Linked DNA regions of Daphnia pulex. The protein of the gene in region 2 interacts with the protein of the main gene of each other region in a pairwise test. Links are inferred from orthologs where the notes say so. Each region holds a gene or a part of one and is shown on either strand. Other genes may lie near its edges.

What was found. The genes of interacting proteins can lie anywhere in the genome.
Region 1: the proteins of zinc finger protein GLI2-like (region 2) and CREB-binding protein-like interact in a two-hybrid assay, tested with the Drosophila melanogaster proteins (3 studies listed by BioGRID). The link is inferred for Daphnia pulex from reciprocal best matches to the Drosophila melanogaster genes ci and nej.
Region 3: the proteins of zinc finger protein GLI2-like (region 2) and kinesin-like protein KIF7 interact in binary tests that used the Drosophila melanogaster proteins (3 or more experiments, as listed by UniProt). The link is inferred for Daphnia pulex from reciprocal best matches to the Drosophila melanogaster genes ci and cos.

Annotation. Positions count from the first base shown.
Region 1 is NC_060022.1:5,073,811-5,080,324, forward strand, and holds the start of CREB-binding protein-like, read right to left. Parts: upstream 3,551-6,514; 5' UTR 2,901-3,550; coding exon 2,816-2,900; intron 2,651-2,815; coding exon 1,887-2,650; intron 1,826-1,886; coding exon 1,208-1,825; intron 1,135-1,207; coding exon 951-1,134; intron 884-950; coding exon 468-883; intron 396-467; coding exon 1-395. Other genes in the region: adenylate cyclase type 9-like, read left to right, coding at 6,189-6,514.
Region 2 is NC_060017.1:6,837,211-6,843,572, reverse strand, and holds the start of zinc finger protein GLI2-like, read right to left. Parts: upstream 4,023-6,362; 5' UTR 3,016-4,022; intron 939-3,015; exon of another isoform or gene 844-938; intron 1-843. UniProt on the Drosophila melanogaster protein: Has a dual function as a transcriptional activator and a repressor of the hedgehog (Hh) pathway. The full-length ci form (ciFL), acts as an activator (ciA) while ciR, its C-terminally truncated form, acts as a repressor. Involved in segment polarity.
Region 3 is NC_060028.1:3,195,675-3,202,176, reverse strand, and holds the start of kinesin-like protein KIF7, read right to left. Parts: upstream 3,551-6,502; 5' UTR 3,347-3,550; coding exon 3,287-3,346; intron 3,204-3,286; coding exon 3,017-3,203; intron 2,935-3,016; coding exon 2,789-2,934; intron 2,704-2,788; coding exon 2,581-2,703; intron 2,501-2,580; coding exon 2,329-2,500; intron 2,262-2,328; coding exon 2,017-2,261; intron 1,933-2,016; coding exon 1,574-1,932; intron 1,511-1,573; coding exon 1,227-1,510; intron 1,167-1,226; coding exon 1,078-1,166; intron 997-1,077; coding exon 660-996; intron 560-659; coding exon 390-559; intron 318-389; coding exon 10-317; intron 1-9. UniProt on the Drosophila melanogaster protein: Regulates cubitus interruptus (ci) processing by recruiting multiple kinases to promote its efficient phosphorylation.

The sequences.
Region 1 (6,514 bases), on a different chromosome or scaffold from region 2:
GGCTGCTGTTGCAGCGGCGTCGTCGGCGTAGAAGTAGGCGTTTGCTGAGCTTGTTGTTGCTCCTTGCGCTTTTGACGCTTCTCGTCCAGCTCCTTTTGAATCTTGTAAATCTTCTCAGCCAAAAGGTGATAATACTCGGAGCGGGAATCAGCCATCTTGTACATGTCACTTTCGACTTTCCGAGCATAGGCCACCAAGTTGTGCATCCGTTTATCCAACATTGCCTGTGGATCGGGAGTTGGAAAGATGGCCAGAACGAGTTTCTGAACCAAGTGATTACGCAGATCGGGTGACACCGACTGATGCCACTCTTTAGACCCTTGAACAGGATCGGCTGTGACCTGACTTGGCTGCAGTCCACCAGGCAAGGGAGTTGTTGAATTTACCGGGCTCATCTAAATCGAATAAAGAAAGGGAGTGAATGAAAAAATATTCTGCTATGTAAAATGCATTGTTTGAAATCATACAATGTGCTCAATGTTGGATGCGTTGTCTGAGATGGAACCCCTAATATTCCTTGCCGTGGTGGAACCAGCGGTTTGCTGCTGAGATTGCAGCGCCGCGTTATGAGGAGGGCCACGATTCATGGCACCAGGAGGAACAGGTTGCCCAGCTGCGGCGACGGCTGACGGAGGGTTATTTCCTGCTAACTGGGCATTGTTCATTGGAACCATTGAATTTTGCTGCTGTTGTTGGGGTGGTAGTAAAGGCCTCGGCATCCCACCTACAGCGTTAGGAGGAGCCTGAACTCCTCCGACAGCACCGCCTTGATTCAATGTTGGTAGGATACCTTGACCGGGTGCCGCAGACGATGCGCCAATCGAGTTGGAACCAAGACCGACATCGAAACCGGCAGGACTCGGTTGAGAAGCATTATGAGGAGCTAACAGAACGAAGAAAAATATTTGAATAAATTTCTCCACGAAAAATGAGCAAAAAAATTGTGGTACCTTTATTCCGATCTGCCTGTTTGAGAGGCAGGCAGACGGGGCAGTCGGAACGATTACAGTTTTTCCAATGAGAAATTATCTGCCGCGAAGAGGAGCAGTGAGGTACTTGGCATGATTTTCCCGCCTGGCATGTCGTCATGTGGTTCAAAACATTTTTCATTGTCCGGCAGTGTGGAAGGGTGCACTGTGGTATCAAAAGATGAACCAAAACCATAAGGACACATTATTTAAAAATTTTCGTCGTCTATTCAACGCACCTCTCCGTTGGCCTGGTTCTCTCTTCGCTGGCACTTGTGAGCGTGAAGAAGGAGTACAAGTTGCTGCTGGATCAGTTTCCTTTTCTCGGGATCGGCAGTTGCTGCCGCATTAGCTGCTCCTGCACCACCGGCCGATCCTGCGGCGACTGGCACGACAGGAGTAACAGCTGGGCTTGGCGCTGCCACTTGAGGAGCATTAGCGGCCACTGGTGTGTATTGCTGCTGCTGTTGTTGTTGAGGATGCTGTTGTTGGGCAGAAACCATAGGAGTCTGAGTGACAGTGGATGACGCTGATGATACCATCGGCGCTGAAACCATCGCCGCTGCTCCACCAGGCATCATAACTGGTCGTGCTGACATGTTGGGATTCATATTTTGCTCGCTATTAAACCTCGGTTGTTGTTGTTGCTGCTGCTGTTGTTGTTGCTGCTGCTGCATGGCATTTTGCATTGGAGGAATACCACCATTAGCTGTACCGATAGGTCTTTGCTGTTGGGCTGCCATCATAGCATTTGGCATGTTCGAATTAGCAAAGCCATATTGATTGGAATTGGTCATCACATTCGAGCCGGGCCCGGCATTTGGGCCCATGCCTCCCATTCCACCAATTCCCGGTCCCTGTTTTAATCGAGTTGGTTTAGCTACAAAAGTAAGAACAAGACAGAGCAGAATTTCTTACCTGCAAGCGAGGTCCTTGAGGATTCATCCCTTGTATAAGCTGCCCTCTTAATGGCGTTTGTTGTTGTTGTTGCTGTTGCGGCATCATATTGTTAGGAAGGCCTCCAACAGGCCTAGCACTGCCCATCATGGATTGTGGGCCGTTGTGTAAACCCTGGCTCATTTGGCCGGCATTCATCATGGACCCGGGTGTCTTCATCGACACGTTCACACCACCCATTCCAGTTGGATTCAACATGTTATTCATTGATTGTTGCTGCTGCTGTTGTTGCTGCTGCAACGACTGCATCATTTGTGGGCCATTTCCCATAGAATTCATCATGGGCATTGGGGCACTGCCAGGCGGTGAGTTCAACTTACTATTCAGAGGGCCTTTATTTAAACTACTATTAGCCATGTTCATGTTGTTTTGCCCAATTGCACTGCCACTTATCGCACCACCACTCATATTGTTCAGCGAAGCTTTGTTTTGCATTCCCATATGAGGAAGCTGGTGATGATGTTGAGCATCCATTGATCCATTTTGTTGCTGCTGAGAACCAGGTCCTAAGCCCATCGACATTCCCATTCCAGGATTGTTAGGGCCCATAGACTGGGGCCTCTGAACACACTGTTGTTGTTGTGGAGGCTGCTGTTGCTGCTGCTGTGGCTGGGCAGTCGGCTGGCTCACATTAGCAGTAGCATTACTCCAGCCCCCTCCTGATGTGTTGAAAAGCTCATCAGGCAGATTGCTTTCAAGATCAAATAGTGGATTCCCAATCATATCTATAAAGGAATAAAGATGGTTAGAATCAGAGGATGCAAGTAAAACGGTAAAAGTTGACCCAACTGTCAAACATGTGACAGCTTGACAACAATGGACCAAGTCGATTGTCAAACTCTAAGAATAAAGCTGTATTTATGCATTTTAAAAACAAAATGGTGTTATACCTGATGAATCAGTAGAGCAGTTGCCAATAGCATCATTCAGTTTGGGCCGCTTGTTAGGCGGCCCTTCAATAAGGTGTTCAGCCATGACTTTCTTTAGGTTAAACCAAGCACCTCTTCTGCTAAAAAAGACTCATCGCACAATCTTCCCCACCAGCAGCACATGACACTTGGACAAGTAAAGAGAGGTCATAGAGCACTCTTCTCCACAGCCATTGAGGATGTATGGATGGGAGAAAGACAAGACAGGTAAGATGCTTTCTTCCGAAATTTTCCTTTCTTCAATCAATTAAAGCGTCCAACGCGCCGGCCACTGTATTAATAAATGTTGGTGAATCACTTTGAGGGCGGTAAAACGGAGCCTTCCAGAGAGGAACTTTAGCTTCTTCCGTCGACCGTGCAGAATTCAAGCCTTCCTTCACGGCAACGGCTTTCACTTCAAAAAAAAAAAGAACAACCCCGTCCCACTGTAGTCGTCCGAGGATCTCCACAGTAGGGGTCGCCGCCAAATTTTCAATTTTTATGTAAACTTTTTTTTCGACAATATAACAATCCGTTAACAATCAGCGGCACTACCTAGCATCACGAGGTGAACGATGACGAAAATTTTCCGTTCACGATTTACTTTTTCTTCTCCTGCCACTAGATTTTCTACATTCTTCTTCAGGGACTCGAACAAAATGGCTGCTGTTGATTTCTTAGCTTGGATCTAAGGGTCCAACTCTGGTGGCCAAAGTCGTAAGTTTTAGACAATTTTTCCATCTAAATAGACGCGATAGAGATTTTTGCGATGCAATTCTCAATAATTCTTATCATTTCATTTGATTTCCTAATTTTTAATCATTATTTTCAAATATTTTGCATTCTTGAAACAAACACAAAAATTACATGAAGTGTCAAAAAATTTTACTCAAGCTCATTATAATTCGTGAGAAGCGAATACGACGTTGTCAGGTTCTTCCTTGATTTCATTGTTGTTGAGCGCACATTTTCGATGGAACTTTCTCTGGCGCGAAAAGTTGTTCAGTTACTCTTCGATCTTCGTCATTTGCTCGCAACAAACAGCTAAAAAATAATTAGAATGGGGAACTATATGTTTGGTGAAATCTTTGGAATAAAAATGATATGGCTTCAATAAAAGTAGCTTCGTCGTTTGCCTGTAAAATTTTATTACTGGTTAAAAAATAGATGTGACAGATTTTACTTATTTGTAGATTTTGTAAATTTCAAGATTTTTACTAAAATCTTGATTAAGATATTCGATGAAAAATAAATTATAACAGATTTGAAGCAAACGTCTTTAATGGGCAGAAATAAATTCAAGTGCGAAAGCACAGAACATTGCACACAGAATTGACACAGAATAGCGTCCACAAATGAATCATAAATATCCGCTTAATTAAAGAAGCAGAAATCCAGCTAATCTGTAAAATATAAAAATGCACACATGAACCGCACCAGTATGAATTATTATCAAATCAATCGTTTTTTATTTTATTTTTTAATTACTATTTTGCAAACAAGAAAAGTTTGTTGACCTTTCGTTAAAGTAGATTGATCCAGCGGAAAGTGGTATCCAATCAAATCTGTCCTGACGTGGAAGTAATAAATGACATTTTACCTCAATCGGGGTTGATTTATGTACGCAATAAGCGGTTTAAACCAGAACTTATGACTACAACAAGCGAATTGTAAAACAACCTACTTAATAATAAAATGTTGGAAAGAACAACTTTGAAAAGGTAATACATTCGGAAAATTTACAACCAGCATATTTTCATACAGCCTTGGATTCCTCGTGAGGGTTGTAACTTACAATGCAACGTAACAGAACATTTGGAATAACATCTTCAATGTCGAATGTCAAATATTCGACTACTGGTACAGAAAAAAAAATCTTGCTCATTCTTCGGGACTATTATTCAATTCTTGTCAAGTTACTTTCGTCTAACCGGTAATCAAAGCGATAATGCAAGATTGACGCGATGTATTTTGAAATTTTGTAAAAGTTGAATTGAACCACTTTTTTTTTTTTATTGACTGGCATCATTTCTAGATCTTTAATCGTCAAGTTCGAAAAGCCAAAAAATAAATTGTTGAAGCAAATAATTTCCCTTCTAGAAGCCGGGTTCAGCAACCTTTCAGATGGCTCTTACCAAATGACGTCATGATCGAAGAAAGAAATGGCGGCGGCCGAAGAAGCTCTCCAGTTTTGCAAAATCATTATATCAGTCATGTATTTGTCTTGTTGTCACAACCTGACAAAAAAATATAAACACAACACACACAACTTTTTCAAATAAGATCCTTCAGAGTTCAGACGATCCCCTGTACTTTTTTGACAAGTTGTAAAAATGTCAATTCCATTAATAATTTGCATTTTGGTTTCTTTCTCTTACACGTTCTTATGGCAACAATATATCAACGATACAGTTTTCATAAATGTTTTCAAAACTAAAACTAATTGGTTTTATTGACTATATTTCCCAAACTTTTTCTAAAATCTGAAATAGCCAAGTTTGACAGCCAGCAGAGTTACCAAATGGCGATGTTCCATGGAGGGAGGGGAAGGAATGTGGCAGATAGAAGGAGCGGCTGTCTGTCTTAGTCAAGACTCCTCCCACACATTCACGTGAGAATATGATGATACAAAACGTTTTTCAATTAATCTCTTTTAAATGAGAAAATGACGAAAAGGTCTTGTCACCAAATCCATGAAGATTAGTTAACGTTTCATATTATCGAAAGTTTTGTGTTGTGGCTAGTTAGCCCCGTGTGTAAGTCGGAGGTGAGCAGATGAAAAGTGAAAATGTTACTCTGAGCCTGTATTAACTGTTTGCTTTGGCTGCCACTGTATGCACTCGCTTACCGACACTTGTGCTGAAATATAAAACTATGGTATTGTTTAATAACACTTGTCTGTTGTGATGGCTCTTATTCTAACACCGTAACTTTGTTGTTAGCATTCTAGTTCCACTGTGAAGGTCTCTAACTTCAAAATATCACCCAGAATTCACAACTGGATTTGACAACTCTTGGTTTCGTAGCCCAAAGTTGTTAAAACAGTATTGCTAACAAGTCATATTCTGTAGTAATGCCAACCGATGGGCTGGACCACCACAGATGGGCTGGACCGCCACAGATGTGCTGGAATGCATGTATGTGACAATAGAACAAGCTAATGCTTTCCACTCACCATTAGTAACATATACACAGATGACTTTAACCCTAGACAGTTTTCATTCAAAAAAAGTTATTCGTTGACCTTCTGTGAAGGGTCTTGCAAACCAATCAAAAATATTGAATTTTGAGAATGAGACGTATTTTTTCCCATATCTTACCCTCAACATTCAGGTTGGGAAAGTGATGAGCAAAGATGACTAACCATAGTGCAGAAAGGGTGAGAATCCACCACCGCAACATCCTTACTGCTCTGCCTCAGAGGCCGACAGTCAACATGTCTCGCCGTTCATCTTGCCGAAGCGGGAATAAGGATAACATGCGAAAGCATTCCTTGCTCTTCCACCGGGCTTCACCGTTTTGGTGGATCCCTCGCTTTGACTCGGACATCCTGGAGGGTCAATATTGGCGGAGCACGTTTCCACAAATTCGTCTACGTTTCCAGCTCGCTCTGCTCTACGTTTTCATCGTTTCGCTTTCCTGGTGTGTTTATTTCAGCGCCGTCACAATCCATCATTGGCT
Region 2 (6,362 bases):
AGAGAGCTGCTGCTAACCTTTTCCAAAAAGAAATGAAAATGTGTAAAGTGTCGATAAGCTGAGCTCCTTCTAAAATGTTGATCTTATCATGAAGGCATTAAGTGCCTTCACGGTTCTTTTTCTTAATAGACTCGCAACGCTTTTTTTTTTATTTTTTAAAAAACATTTTTCACCTTTTTTTCTTTTTGATGGGTGGTGGACATTTTATATGGTCGCCACAAATAATACCGGACACATTTTCAAAGTGTGATTTTTTTTGTTTTTAGACATTTTACTATTTAACATTTTTAAGTGTGTGTGGCCGGATGTGATGAAGAGATTTGGAGAACCGTCAAAAGTCCTTCACTTTGAATTTTTCATTTGAAATCAGCGAAGCGAAATGTGTCGAGCAAAACGGAAATCTGCAGTCCTGATGCTATTTTCTAAAGCCCATACTTATGCCGGAAGAAGAAGGAATAAACACTAAATATATATCGTCCGTCTGCTGTGTCCCTCCCAAGTCAACAGCATATGTGTTTCCCCAAAAAATGAAAAACCCTCCTGCTGGGCTGATCTTTGACCTGACAAGAAGCCGGGCTTCAATTTTCTCGCTCACTCGAGTCTTGGACTCGACGAATTGGAATTTAATTCACTGGCCACTTGTACATTAACTACCCCTCTATACCAATTCAATTTCAACTTTCACTTTGACTCTACTTCACTTTATTCTTACTTATTCTTACACCATTCTTGTTGGTTCAAAATGTCAAATGAAGTGAACGTTTGCTTAACCAAAAGTGGACAAAATAATGCTTAAACACTTATTATCTATGAACTACAATAGATCCTAAATAAAGAACTTACTCATTTGGTTAAAAATTTCCAATATGGTCCATAACACCTGAATAAAAAACCGCGAAAATGTACAACCTGCTCCATGACTCCATTGAAGAATAACTGACAAAGAGATTCCCGAATCTGAGCTGTGTTGCAATTTCTAAATTGCTAAATTTAATTTTTCTCGAAGATGAATAATTGAATACGTGTGTACAAATATTTTTTTTAATAAAATGTTTTTAATTTAATGGCTATAATTTCAAGATTGCGAGTCAATTATAAAATACTTTAATTAATTAAAGTCATTAAGTGATCTTTGACAACGTGGGTGGGTGAAAAACAATGGAGTGGGATGGGAAGTGGCAACTGCCAATCACAGACGACGAATGTGAAATTCGGTGTGTTCTTTTCAAATTTATTAAATAAGTAGCCGATTTCAATGAAATTTACGCGTAACACCAACTACATTAAAATACTTAAGTTTATTTATTTCACTTCGGTCAACACTAAAGTATAGTCAAAGTAAAATAAAATTGGGTTAAAAGTACACATTTACCCGCTGGCCTATACCGCCCGTGTATTATTATTATAAGTACTTTTGAGTGTCGTCCACTACTTTGCATTTTTACCCTCAGAAAACCAAAAAAAAAAACCCTTTTTTTCCTTTTTTTAAACTTTTAATCCGCTGTGTGTATTTGGCGGATGGAGGGAATTCCGCATGGGGTCAAGTCAACGGAAAGGGAAGTCTCCCACTTTTTGATAAATGAACTCCCCCCCTTCCACCCCCTTAGCAGAGGTATACAAAAACGGCCGATTGATCTCTCCTCTGGCGGGTCAGGAGAATTAAAGAAGAAGAAGATAAAAGGTAAAAAATAAGGGCGGAGCACATCGTGTCACTTATACACACTCTCACCAAAAAAATCCATTTGGATTTCATTTTATCTTCTTCAAATGTCTTTTTGTTCCGGAATCGGAATTAATCCGAAAAGCATTAAGAAGAAAGTGGATGGAAGCGAAAAAATGAAGTGGCCCCCGTACTATACTATATAGAGTGTCGTAAATTGGTCGAGGAATTTTATATAAAGATTGTGCGCATATCTAAGTAGATGTAGAGTAGGTGCGACGTTGGCTACTGCGGCGGCAGCAGCCAGTTTTTCCTCCGGTCGTAAAAACGGAAGAAGAAACAACCCAAAAGGAGAGTATACCGAATGTACAACAACGGAAAGCTTTCGTCACTGCTATAAGAAAATTGCGGTTTCGTCTGGGAATCTATACGAGACATTGAAAGGTGCAGGACACTTTTCCTAAAGTATAAAAAAGAAACAATTGACCAACTTACTACGTCTTCCTAGTTTTTATTTCTCGACTATTAAAATCAAGTGCTGGGGAGTGTATCCGACATTATTTTACCGCTTGTGGGTCTCGATGAATAATAAAGAGTATTACATTCTCTTTTGAATTTGTATACAAGTTAATTTAAAAAAATAAATAGGCCATGGATATTTAAAAGACAAACAATTTTGAGGTGGTTCTTAGCAATTAGGAAGGAGGGAAGTCCCCTATAACGTGAATGCCGGAACACGGCCAGCGCTGTTGACCAGCAATCGGAACAAAACTACCGAGTGTGGAAAGCGATTGTGTCATCACCGCAAGCCGGAAACTACTGCGGTGTGGCCTTTTGTCACTTAGTTGGAAGCATTTTGTTTCTTCGTGGTTTTTTTGGGAATTTATTCTTTTTTTCTTGTGGAGGTGTGACGGGACTTATACCGAGCGTGTGGTCAGCGTTACGACCGCACAGTCCCCCCCCCAAAAAAACTATATAATATGTAGCAGTACAAAACGAAAGTGTATTAGAACGACAGCGGTCGTTTTTTTTTACAGGTGCGTCTTCCAACAGGTGAAGAAAAAAAAGACCCATTAGATAATTGACTGTGCGAGCGTGGACAGGTCGAAATAGAGAGAAAATGGAACTGCTGTAAGGATAAATGATGAGACAACTATATATCCGACGCCTATTCAATTTTTCTTTTTTCTTGAAGTTATTTACCATCAATTGAATGGACTAAAGCCGATATATTAAGTGTCGCTGTGTCTAATCAATTTGCCCGGCAGATTACGTCTACAGGTGTTGTTGGCAGGCACACACACACAACCTTACAGTAAAAGAAATTATCCTTCGTTGTTGACGGATCAACTTACCGCCCAGAATGCCGTTGATGGTATCTCTTCAGACTGTTGTAATCCACCGTATACTACACACGTCTTTTTTAAACTATACGATAATGTCGTACCGTTGGCTCAAGTTCACTAAACACTCGATGGCTGGGCCCGGCACTTTAGCGCCAACTATTCAAGCCGGGAGGAGAATCACGACTCGATTAAAAATGGAAAAATATTAAAAAAAGATTGAATGAATCCAATCAGATTCTGCGCTGCTGCCGTGTCTAATGAGCTGAAATCTAGGCTACGGAGCGATTAGATTACGTCACGTTGTGGCTCCCATTGCCGGCGGTAATGCGATAAGGTAGACACTTTTGTTTCACGGGAGCTCGAATGTGTAATATGTGAAATAATTAAAAAAGGAAAAGAAGAAAAGTCTTTTGACGCCCGATCGAATCTCGGTCGATCGTCGGGAGAGGCTTGTGGCACTGGTGGACACGAATTGGCTCGACACTTTGTAATATACGACACACGCAATTGATATATTTTTCTGGCTACTATTAAACGAATCGGCGTAAAAGGGCAAAGAACACGAATAAAAAGAGACGAGAGGCGACAGACGAGACACGAGAAATCGTCGAGACGGATGTCAAATCGAAAAAAAAAGGAAACAAGAAGTAAAAACAAAATAGAAAACGACGAGAGAGAGAGTCTCTTCTTTCTCGAGTTGAGGTCGGGTTCTCGGTCGCGTCTCGGGGTCGACACGATCTGCGGAACTTGCGCGAGATGGGGAAAAAAAAACGACACAAACTGTGCGCACAATCAAAAATAATCTGATCTTTTTTGGGCGGGGAGAAATGGCGACGGTGAAAAACTGAATGGGAAAACGCGCAAGAGCGAACGTAGAAAGAATCACGCCACTGCCTTCAACTCGGCCCGACTGGGGAGGAAGGTTTGTTGTTGTGTCTTTCGTGAAAACGGTTGCCCGTATAGCGTCCAACAGCAGCAGCGGCGGCGGCGGCAGCAGCACCCGGCAGCTAGAGTCGTGCTGGACGATAACACCAACAAAAAAAATAAGAATTATACACGAAAAACCAGAAAATGGTTAGTGGCGCCCAGCGTTGCCACTTTTCCATTCACCATCATTTCTCGAATTAAAAAAACAAAACAAAATTCCTCGACACTTAATTTCCTTTTTTTTCTTTTAACATTTATTTGATGTTTCTATATTTTACCATAGTTTTTGGCTTGATTGTCTTTTTGGTTAAATTCCTTTTTTCTTTTCTGGTTGCTTGGTGAGACTGGCCTTCTCCCGCGGACGCGGACCTGATGGAAGAGCCTTTTTGGGGTGTTTGGCGGCGCTGGGGACGAGAGTCATCGACTCGTCGACCGGTTATCTTAAGGACGTCTTGATTCTCCCGATTCCTCGACTGATATTCTTCCACCTTTTTCTTGTCGGGCATCCTCATTTGTTTCCTTCTTTTCTTTTCTCCCGAGGAGAAACAAATATAAACGGACGCCTCCTCCCCTCATTGGTTGCCTCCTTATCCGAATGAATGACGGCAGCCTTAATGTCATTTAAGATAATGAAAAATCCCTTTTCTCACTTTAGAAGATCTTTGGGGGAGAAAATCATTTCCTTTTATTTTTTGGGAAAATGAACGGCGGGACAGTTTGTCCTTAAACGCCAAAGAGGCGGAGGGACTGGCGGGGACGAGTTGTTTGGTTGCAGCAGCAGCAGCAGCGATGAGTAAGGCGGCGATCGAGTTCTTGTTTGATGTGTCAGCAGCTTGTTTCTTTCTCTCATCTCTTTGAGGGCTGCTGCTGCTGCTGCTGTTGAGCCATCAGCTATTTTCCTAAATGGCGGATCACGTCATCAGGATAGCAACTGGCGCAGCGATACGGGGAAGAAAAAAACCTTGGCACATTAGGAGAGAGGGGCGTGAATTCCGAACGCAGCGACGACGACGACGACTATAGTAGAGGACGACGACGGGATTTGATTACCGCCGAGTTGGCTGGTCTGTCTGTTAAGTGAAACCGTCGCCACTGCTGCTGCAATAATAATGACTCGATTGCATTTCGCATATAATAATCACTACACAACGGTCTCTAATGCGCGCAGACAGCAAACAGACACAGCAAACGGGCGCGGTTTCCTATGGCGCCGGAGCTGGTTGGCACCGGCTGCTGCTGCCGCTGCTGCTGCTGCTCGTATGTGTAAATATGTGTGTCCGATTAAAACGATAGAAAATGTTGTTCTTTTCCATTCAACCAAAAACAAAACAAAAAATAAAAGAGAGAGAAAGAAAGAGAAGGCCAAGATAAGATGACACCAAAAGACCATAATAATAATAATAATAATAAGCTCCGGCTTCTTCTTCTTCTTCTGGCTTGCACGCTGTTGCCAATGCGTGTCAAAAAGGTTTGTTTGTACCGCGGGCAGCTTTTTGATATCTCACAACTCCCCTGCGTTCAGACCAAGATCCCGAATTGTCAGCAAAAGAAAACTGAACCGCCGGTTTCAACTAAACACCCAACAACATTTGACACACACAACAATGTGTGTGTGTGTGTGCGTGTGTGTGTGGTTCTCTACCGACCCAAAGATATGCAACACACCCACAACAATCAGAGAGCCATTTGAATGCAGCCATGACTCGGATCATTAGAGACTCCCGGGTTTTTTAAAGAAAAAAAGGAAAAATCCAAGAAGAAGAAAATGGAAATTCATTTTTTTCCCTACTGTCAAGACACCAGCAAGTTCATACATAAACATTACGTCAGCAGAAAAAAAAGAAAAAAGAAAAGCGATTCTATTTTCACGCAGCACTTTTTTTTCTCTCTTCTCTGCTGGGCGAATGAATAAAAAAAATATCTACGAGTCTCTTTTTCTTTCTATCGTGTGTGTTCAATAAGATAGAGATGCGCCGCTGCGGCCCACCTTCACGGCGCGTATAAACAACCGCACACAAGAGAAAGAAGCGGGGCGGGCGGGCGGCTCGCGCGCGTTCAGACCCCCACACACACGCTATATAATATGTGTAGCCGTGTGGACTTGTCTGCTGCTATATAGCAGGTTGATGCCCACAGTAACACCCAGCGCCGAGAAGAGATCGGCTCAAAAGATTCCACATTACCGGCCCTATTGTCTTGTTCTCTTGTATCTCTCCTCTTGTCTCTCTCCCGACTCTATTTTTCTTTCGATTGTATTCGATAGAATTTTTTAGTTTGAAAAGAAGAAAGAAAAGAATCGGCTCCTCATTTTATTTCATCTTTTTTTTATCCTTTAAAAAATAATAAATACAAAGAAACAAAATATTAAAAAGAAAGAAGAAAAATCAAAACGAAGGAAAACAGAAAAGGCAAAATTGATGGATTGATTT
Region 3 (6,502 bases), on a different chromosome or scaffold from region 2:
TGCAATTACTTCCGAGGAGCCCGCGCAGTTAGATCTAGCAACTCTGCCATGTTTTTTAAACAGTGTTCAAAGCGTATAATCTCAGCCCGCTGTTGGCCGATTGTTCGTTCACCGTCAGTGACGTTGTCGCTTTCTTGTTCGATGGGACTGCTGCATTCATCACTGTTGTCTTCTGACTGTTTCCTATGGCGGGGTGGAATATTTAGATCGGATTGATGAGGGACCCTATCCTGCTTAAGCGATTTCTGAATTTTCTCCTGGTGAGTTTTTGTCTGTTCGTTTTCTTTGCTGTCACGAGTAAAATCCACATATTCCTCCTTTAAAAAGAAAATAATAATAAAGATAGTTAAAAATTACTGGGGAGATCAACGTCAGATCGGCAAGCTAACCTTCAAAGAAACTGTCCGTTTGAGCTCCTCAAGGGTTTGGTGAGCTTTTTTAAGTTGTTTGTTCGTTTTCCATGTAAGGAGTTGTCGTTTTTCTGAAATCTCAGCAGAATGTCGCATTTCTCGACATGCATCGTCTTCCGCATCGCCTCCGACTTTCAGGCTCCCTTCAACTGCCAAGAAGCAACAAAGATGTTTAGTGTTTAAAAAAATATAAGATATCATCGACTATAGGTTGAAAATTCAAAACTGATTCAACTACTTAGTACTTACTTGGATGATTAGATGATGATTCATTATTTACAGATTCTGGAGTTGATAAACGAGTTTCACCTATTAGAGGCTGTTGGTCTACTGCATTTGAAAGACCGAATATACTAACTCTTCGACCAGTTCTTAGAGGTTTCGGACTGGTATTCCCACTTTTATAATTGCTAGTTGATTGTTCGCGGTCAAATTCAGCGTGTTGAGATAAATCAATAGGATTTGATGCACCCCATTCTAAAGACGTTGCGTTATCATACATTGACTCGATGCTTGAGATTAAACGGTCAGTTGTTTCTCTAAATTGCTGCCTTAATATATCCAGTTGCTCCGTAAAGTGAGACCCCTAATATGAAAGAAATTATACGATATTTTCATTTTACGTTTTTTTATGTTAAACAGAATGCTGCATTATTCCCGTTCTTACATCAGATGACGAGTCTATGGACGACCGATCATGCCTGTTACTCAGTTCAGAAGAAAGTTCACGGGTTGGAGTGGGCTCGGATACCTCTTCTACAAATTAATATAATAGTTAAAACGACTATCACACGCACACACTAAAGATTTAGTTACCAATGACATGGAGTGTTTTAGATTCACCACTGGTGTGAAATATGCTTGTTGTGATAGGCAAGTCTGTCAGGTGACTGCCATCGGTATCACTCTGAATTCTGTTTCGCGGTTTGATGGTTAACAAATCGGGATCAATACAGTTTGCGTATTCCTCTTTCAAACAAAGCCAAGATTCTATTTTGTTTTTGGTGTCATTTCCAAGCAACCCAGATGCAGCCAACTCATTTAAAAGTGTTTCGGCGTTGGTCACCAGTAATTGCCACTGACTTGCTGCGAATCGTAATCTATGGGAAAGAGAAATGCAATTGCTGAATGAAAGCTTCAATTTATAAATTTAAAAGTCTGACCTAAAAACTTCATCTCCGTCTGTTTGTTCAGGATCATGATATACAGATCGATTTTCTTCATTGTCCCTCATAGGATTAGCTTGACAAGTAAATGGAGTTTCATTCATTTGAAATTGCGGAATGTTAGGCGGTGACACAAGTTCCGTCACACCAGCCAAATTAAAAGGGCGAGCGTTTATGCCCATTGCCATCAAAGGAATATTAGCTATCGGTGTAAGGCGGACATTCGCTACTGGGCGATTACAAATGTTTGCTGCCCTTGATGCGAACTTCAACGTATTCGTCGTCTCTTCCAAATCAGAAGCCGAAGGAGAAAGGCACACAATCATCAAGGTGAAGGCATTACCACCCAGTGAATCCTACATGAATAAATTTAAATGCACAGTTAGATCGTAACCAAAAGAGAGAGTGAAAAAGAAATGTTTTTGACAAAATAAACACACTTTCAGAATGTAGGTTAATTTCGAATCCCAATAAGGCACGTGGCTAGCTTTTCTTCTAGGATCACCCAATGCAGCCGTGACATTACTTAACGCAAGAAGGCCAGAATTAATGGAAAATGGTTCCTGAAATCCTGTTAGTTGTGTATCGTCGTTTCCATGATTACTGGTAACACCGAGGCCAAGTCTTTCCGATCCAGCCAAGTCGACAAAATGGAGTTTAGAACACACTTCATACAAACATCCATCTGAAAGAAAATATGTCAAGTTTCATTGAGAAAATTATCAACAAAAGAATAAAGAAAAGTAGTCAACCTTGTGTCCATGCCTGTTGCATATAGAGTGTGAAAATTCCATGGGATCTACTTGAGAGTTGATTTAACATGGGCCCAGTATGTCTTAAAGCCAGACCAGTTTCAAGACAGCTAAATACATCATCAATGGTATGACATTCCATTTGTGTTGCTCCAGTGATGATGATTTCTCCCTAAATTCAATATGTAATAATTATAGCATTGCTATTATCAGCAATTTCACATTTAAATTTTTTTTTTTTTTAAATAATACATTTTGATCTTCTTGTACAGTAATTTCACCATGAAAGGGTTCCATACTCAGAAGATCATGAATTTCTTCATCATAGATTTCTAAATAGCTTGCTTGGATAGAGATCTGTCTTCCGGGGTATTCCTAATTAAAAAAAATTCCCAAAATATCAAACAAAAACCAATTTAGTTATTTAATCTTCACATATTTATTACTTCAAACTGTTTACTTTAGCTTTGTAAAACAAGTTACGAACAGTCCGTGGAACCATACCAAAATCAGATTCATTCATGGTGTAGAGCAATCCAGGTCCAAATATTGTAAATGTTTTCCCAGATCCAGTTTGTCCATACGCTATTACAGTTATGTTGAAACCTGACATACCAATACCATATAAGATGACGTTAAAAGTATAAGAAGTTGCATAACAGTTCTTTTCTTAAATTATTTAACAGACCATCAAAACAAGCATTGACAATTGGCTCGACATATCCTTTGAATATTGCCTGTTGAGGACAATCAAATGGGAGAACATTGCCCAAATGAAATAACCGATTGTTTCCCAGCACAATTGTTCCATGGGATGGATCAATTTGAAAATATGGTGTTGGTAAAACATGATCAGTTGTTTGTAGTGAACGAATCTAGTTAAATTTCAAAAATTGTGAACAATGGGTTGAAATACAATTACTTAATGAAAAAAAAAATGGTTAAAGTTCTTGTTTACCCGGGTTACGAGTTGAACTCGGGCTTGTAAATCCCTGTCTTGACTAGCGCTGAAAAGCATCACGACATTGATAATACAGTTAAGAATAGTTCTTGTTGGATAAATTAACCAATTAACAATTCGGATCGCACAACTGACAGTAGGAAAAGATGATCACACAACACCTGACGTAATTGTATATTATTATTTTCAAGGAAACAGAAACAACAACACCTTTTCCCTTTTACTTTAAATGTCAAAAAAAGAAGGGTGTCCGTAAAGTGCAGGGTGCAGGTGCAGGTTGGACGGTGGGTAAAAAGCGGAACCCGGAGTGCAGGGGCCCTGCACTTTCCCCAACCGAGCGGCTCCCTTGGTAAAATACAGGTTTAGAATTCTACACTAAAATGCAGGTTAGGAAAAGTGCAATGTGCAGTGAAATTTTATGTTTGACTGCCTTCAGTCAGTTATTATCCATTTGCGTGTACTTTTTATTTATTGTCTACACTCTGTTGCGCGCTGAATTATGAGGGCCCAAAACCGCCACTTTTTCAATATAAATTTTTTTTCAAAATATCAATACATAAAACAGAAAAGAATATAAAAATAAAAAAATTCAATATAAAAACTGGTAAAAAGTATTACATAAAAACCAAAAAGAGTAATATAAAAAACAAAAAGTTAATATAAAAACCAAAAAAGTCAATATAAAACCCAAAAAAAGTTCAATACAAAACTCCAAAAAAGTTCAATATAAAAATGGCAGCCACCTAGTGGTCAAAATAATAACTTCATGCCACATCTAAACCTCCACTCAACCAACCTAACCTGCACTTTCTGTGAGCAGCATTTGGGCCTGCATTTTACCCACCTACCTGCACGCCGCACCCTGCACTCCGGGTTCCGCACTTTACCCACCGTCTAACCTGCACCTGCACCCTGCACTTTACCAACACCTCAAAAAGAAAGCGCAGCGGCTAGATTTCCAAGTTTACCATTTTTTAATGGCAACTGCTACTTAGCTTTGCACCTTACACATATTTTAAAATACTCGACTCCGTCATGTTGTTCGTCGTCCAGGACAGCCTTTACCTCCCACTCCTCGTCATCCATTCACTGCATTAATCTAAAAAAAAATGGAATTATTAGGAAATTAAAATTGCGAAAAAAATTAATCACGATTACCTTTGCTTTTCAGCTTCAAGAAACTGTTTAAGTTTTTGAATGTCATCATTCTTTTAGCGGAACTGCTTACTCATTTTTCTCGATTGTTCGAAAAAAGCATTGTACATGTTGACCTAAAAAAATTTAATATTAGAAATAATGACATTACACAGTAAAAAACAATAAAAAAATACCAATTTGGCCATGCCATTCTCCAATTGTTGACTGGTGACGACGTCTTCTTCTTCAATTTCAGCTACTTCCCCTACGCCATCGTCCACATCTTCAACATCCATACAAGAAACTTCTTCCTCTGCTTCCTTGAAATTTCCAACAGGCAAAGTTTCTAGTGCAGATACAGGTACAAGTACAGGAGGTTCAAAAGTAGTTCTTTCATATGGAATATAAACAGGATCACCTATTCCGTAGTGAAAAATTTGAGGATATGTACATTCCTAAATTGTTAACAATAAGAAACGTTGTTCAAGTAAAAAATAATAAAATGAAAGAAAACATAAGAGATATACCTTGTGCATTTATCGAAGCCACATTCGCTTTTGAATACCAGTTTCGTTGAACACTTCATACAAATTCTATCTATTAGACTGACGTATAGACGAAACACTGAAGTCCAAGTCCAGTACATATTCATTGTCTTCAGACAAATCATCAGCTCGTAGACAATGATAATTTGCGACCATAAATTTGTGTAAAGCATCACAACCCTCCAAGGTTAATAAAAAAACGTTTTATCATAAAATACTGATCACTTAGGTCTTGACGTTGATCAAGATTAAAATTCGATAAAGATTAAAATTTCCCCAAGATGTTGGTTTAGTTCCACAAAACGCTCTTCTTGTTGACAAAATTTGTTCTTGACCTTGGTAGTGCTCTCCACAAATTTCTCGTAATTCGAAACCTATAAAAACACAACATTGAATATAATAACCCAAAAACAAAAAAAAAATAACTTACCCATAAATTACTTACAAGATTAACGTAGCCATCCTCTATATTTCGGTAGTGTTTTTCTATTTGGTCTTCTTTCGCATTCTCCGTCGGACACCTTTGCCAAATACACCTCCCCATCTTGAACTTCGCTGCTCTTGATGAAGCAATTGATTGAAACGTAAATTAATAAGGTAAATTAGATACAATAAGGTTCATTATTGCATGTAAACATAAAAAAGATCTATCGCAAAGATCCCTAACACCAACTTCGCAATCAAATTCGTTGACTGCCTCTTCATGGCAAACAATGGCCGCATCTGCAACCGCAACACCGGCAACAAGAGCAACAACTTCAGAAACAACATCCGTATTGAATGGAATCTGTTCCGCCGGCAACTCAATTTCTTGTCCGCAACGAATTATTTCAGGAAAAACATTATCCTACATTATTGACCCCCCCCCATATTTAACAGAAATGTACATTAATACTGTCAAATTCCTCAAAAGTAATTAGAACTAAAAATAAAAGTAAACAATAAAAAATCATACCTTATGAATTTTTGCATGGCTCTTAAACCCCGATTCGGATTTGAATACAGGTCGTGTAAGGCAGATGGGGCAGACTCTGTCGATCAAGCAATTTTTATAATGATAATTGAACTGGTAGTTTTTCTGGATGCTTTCCCACATTTTTCATAATTTTTGCAACGGAACATTTTTAACTAAGACTGCAAGATGATAAATTTGTGATCTATAGAAAAACCTTAGAAAATTTTTTAACCCAACAACTTTTCCACGTTTTTTCCAGCTAACAAACAACACGAGCTTATAACGGTAGCGTCTAGCACTACAGATATAAAGGAAGTAAACAAACAAAGGTGAGGTAGAAAAACTTAAGCTGTCACTTACCATGAAATATGAACAGGTGCCTCTATTATCATCTTCTAGTGTAAACGTAATGGTTAGCTTGTTAATGGTGAAAAGTTTAAAATGCTTCCTTGATAAATGACAACAAAAATGTTTTATTTGTCCCAAACATTCATAATTAAGTATTGTGTAACAAAATAGCCAAACATACAATCATTTCTCTTTCGCCAATGCCAGTTTAGCATGTCAAATTATGCC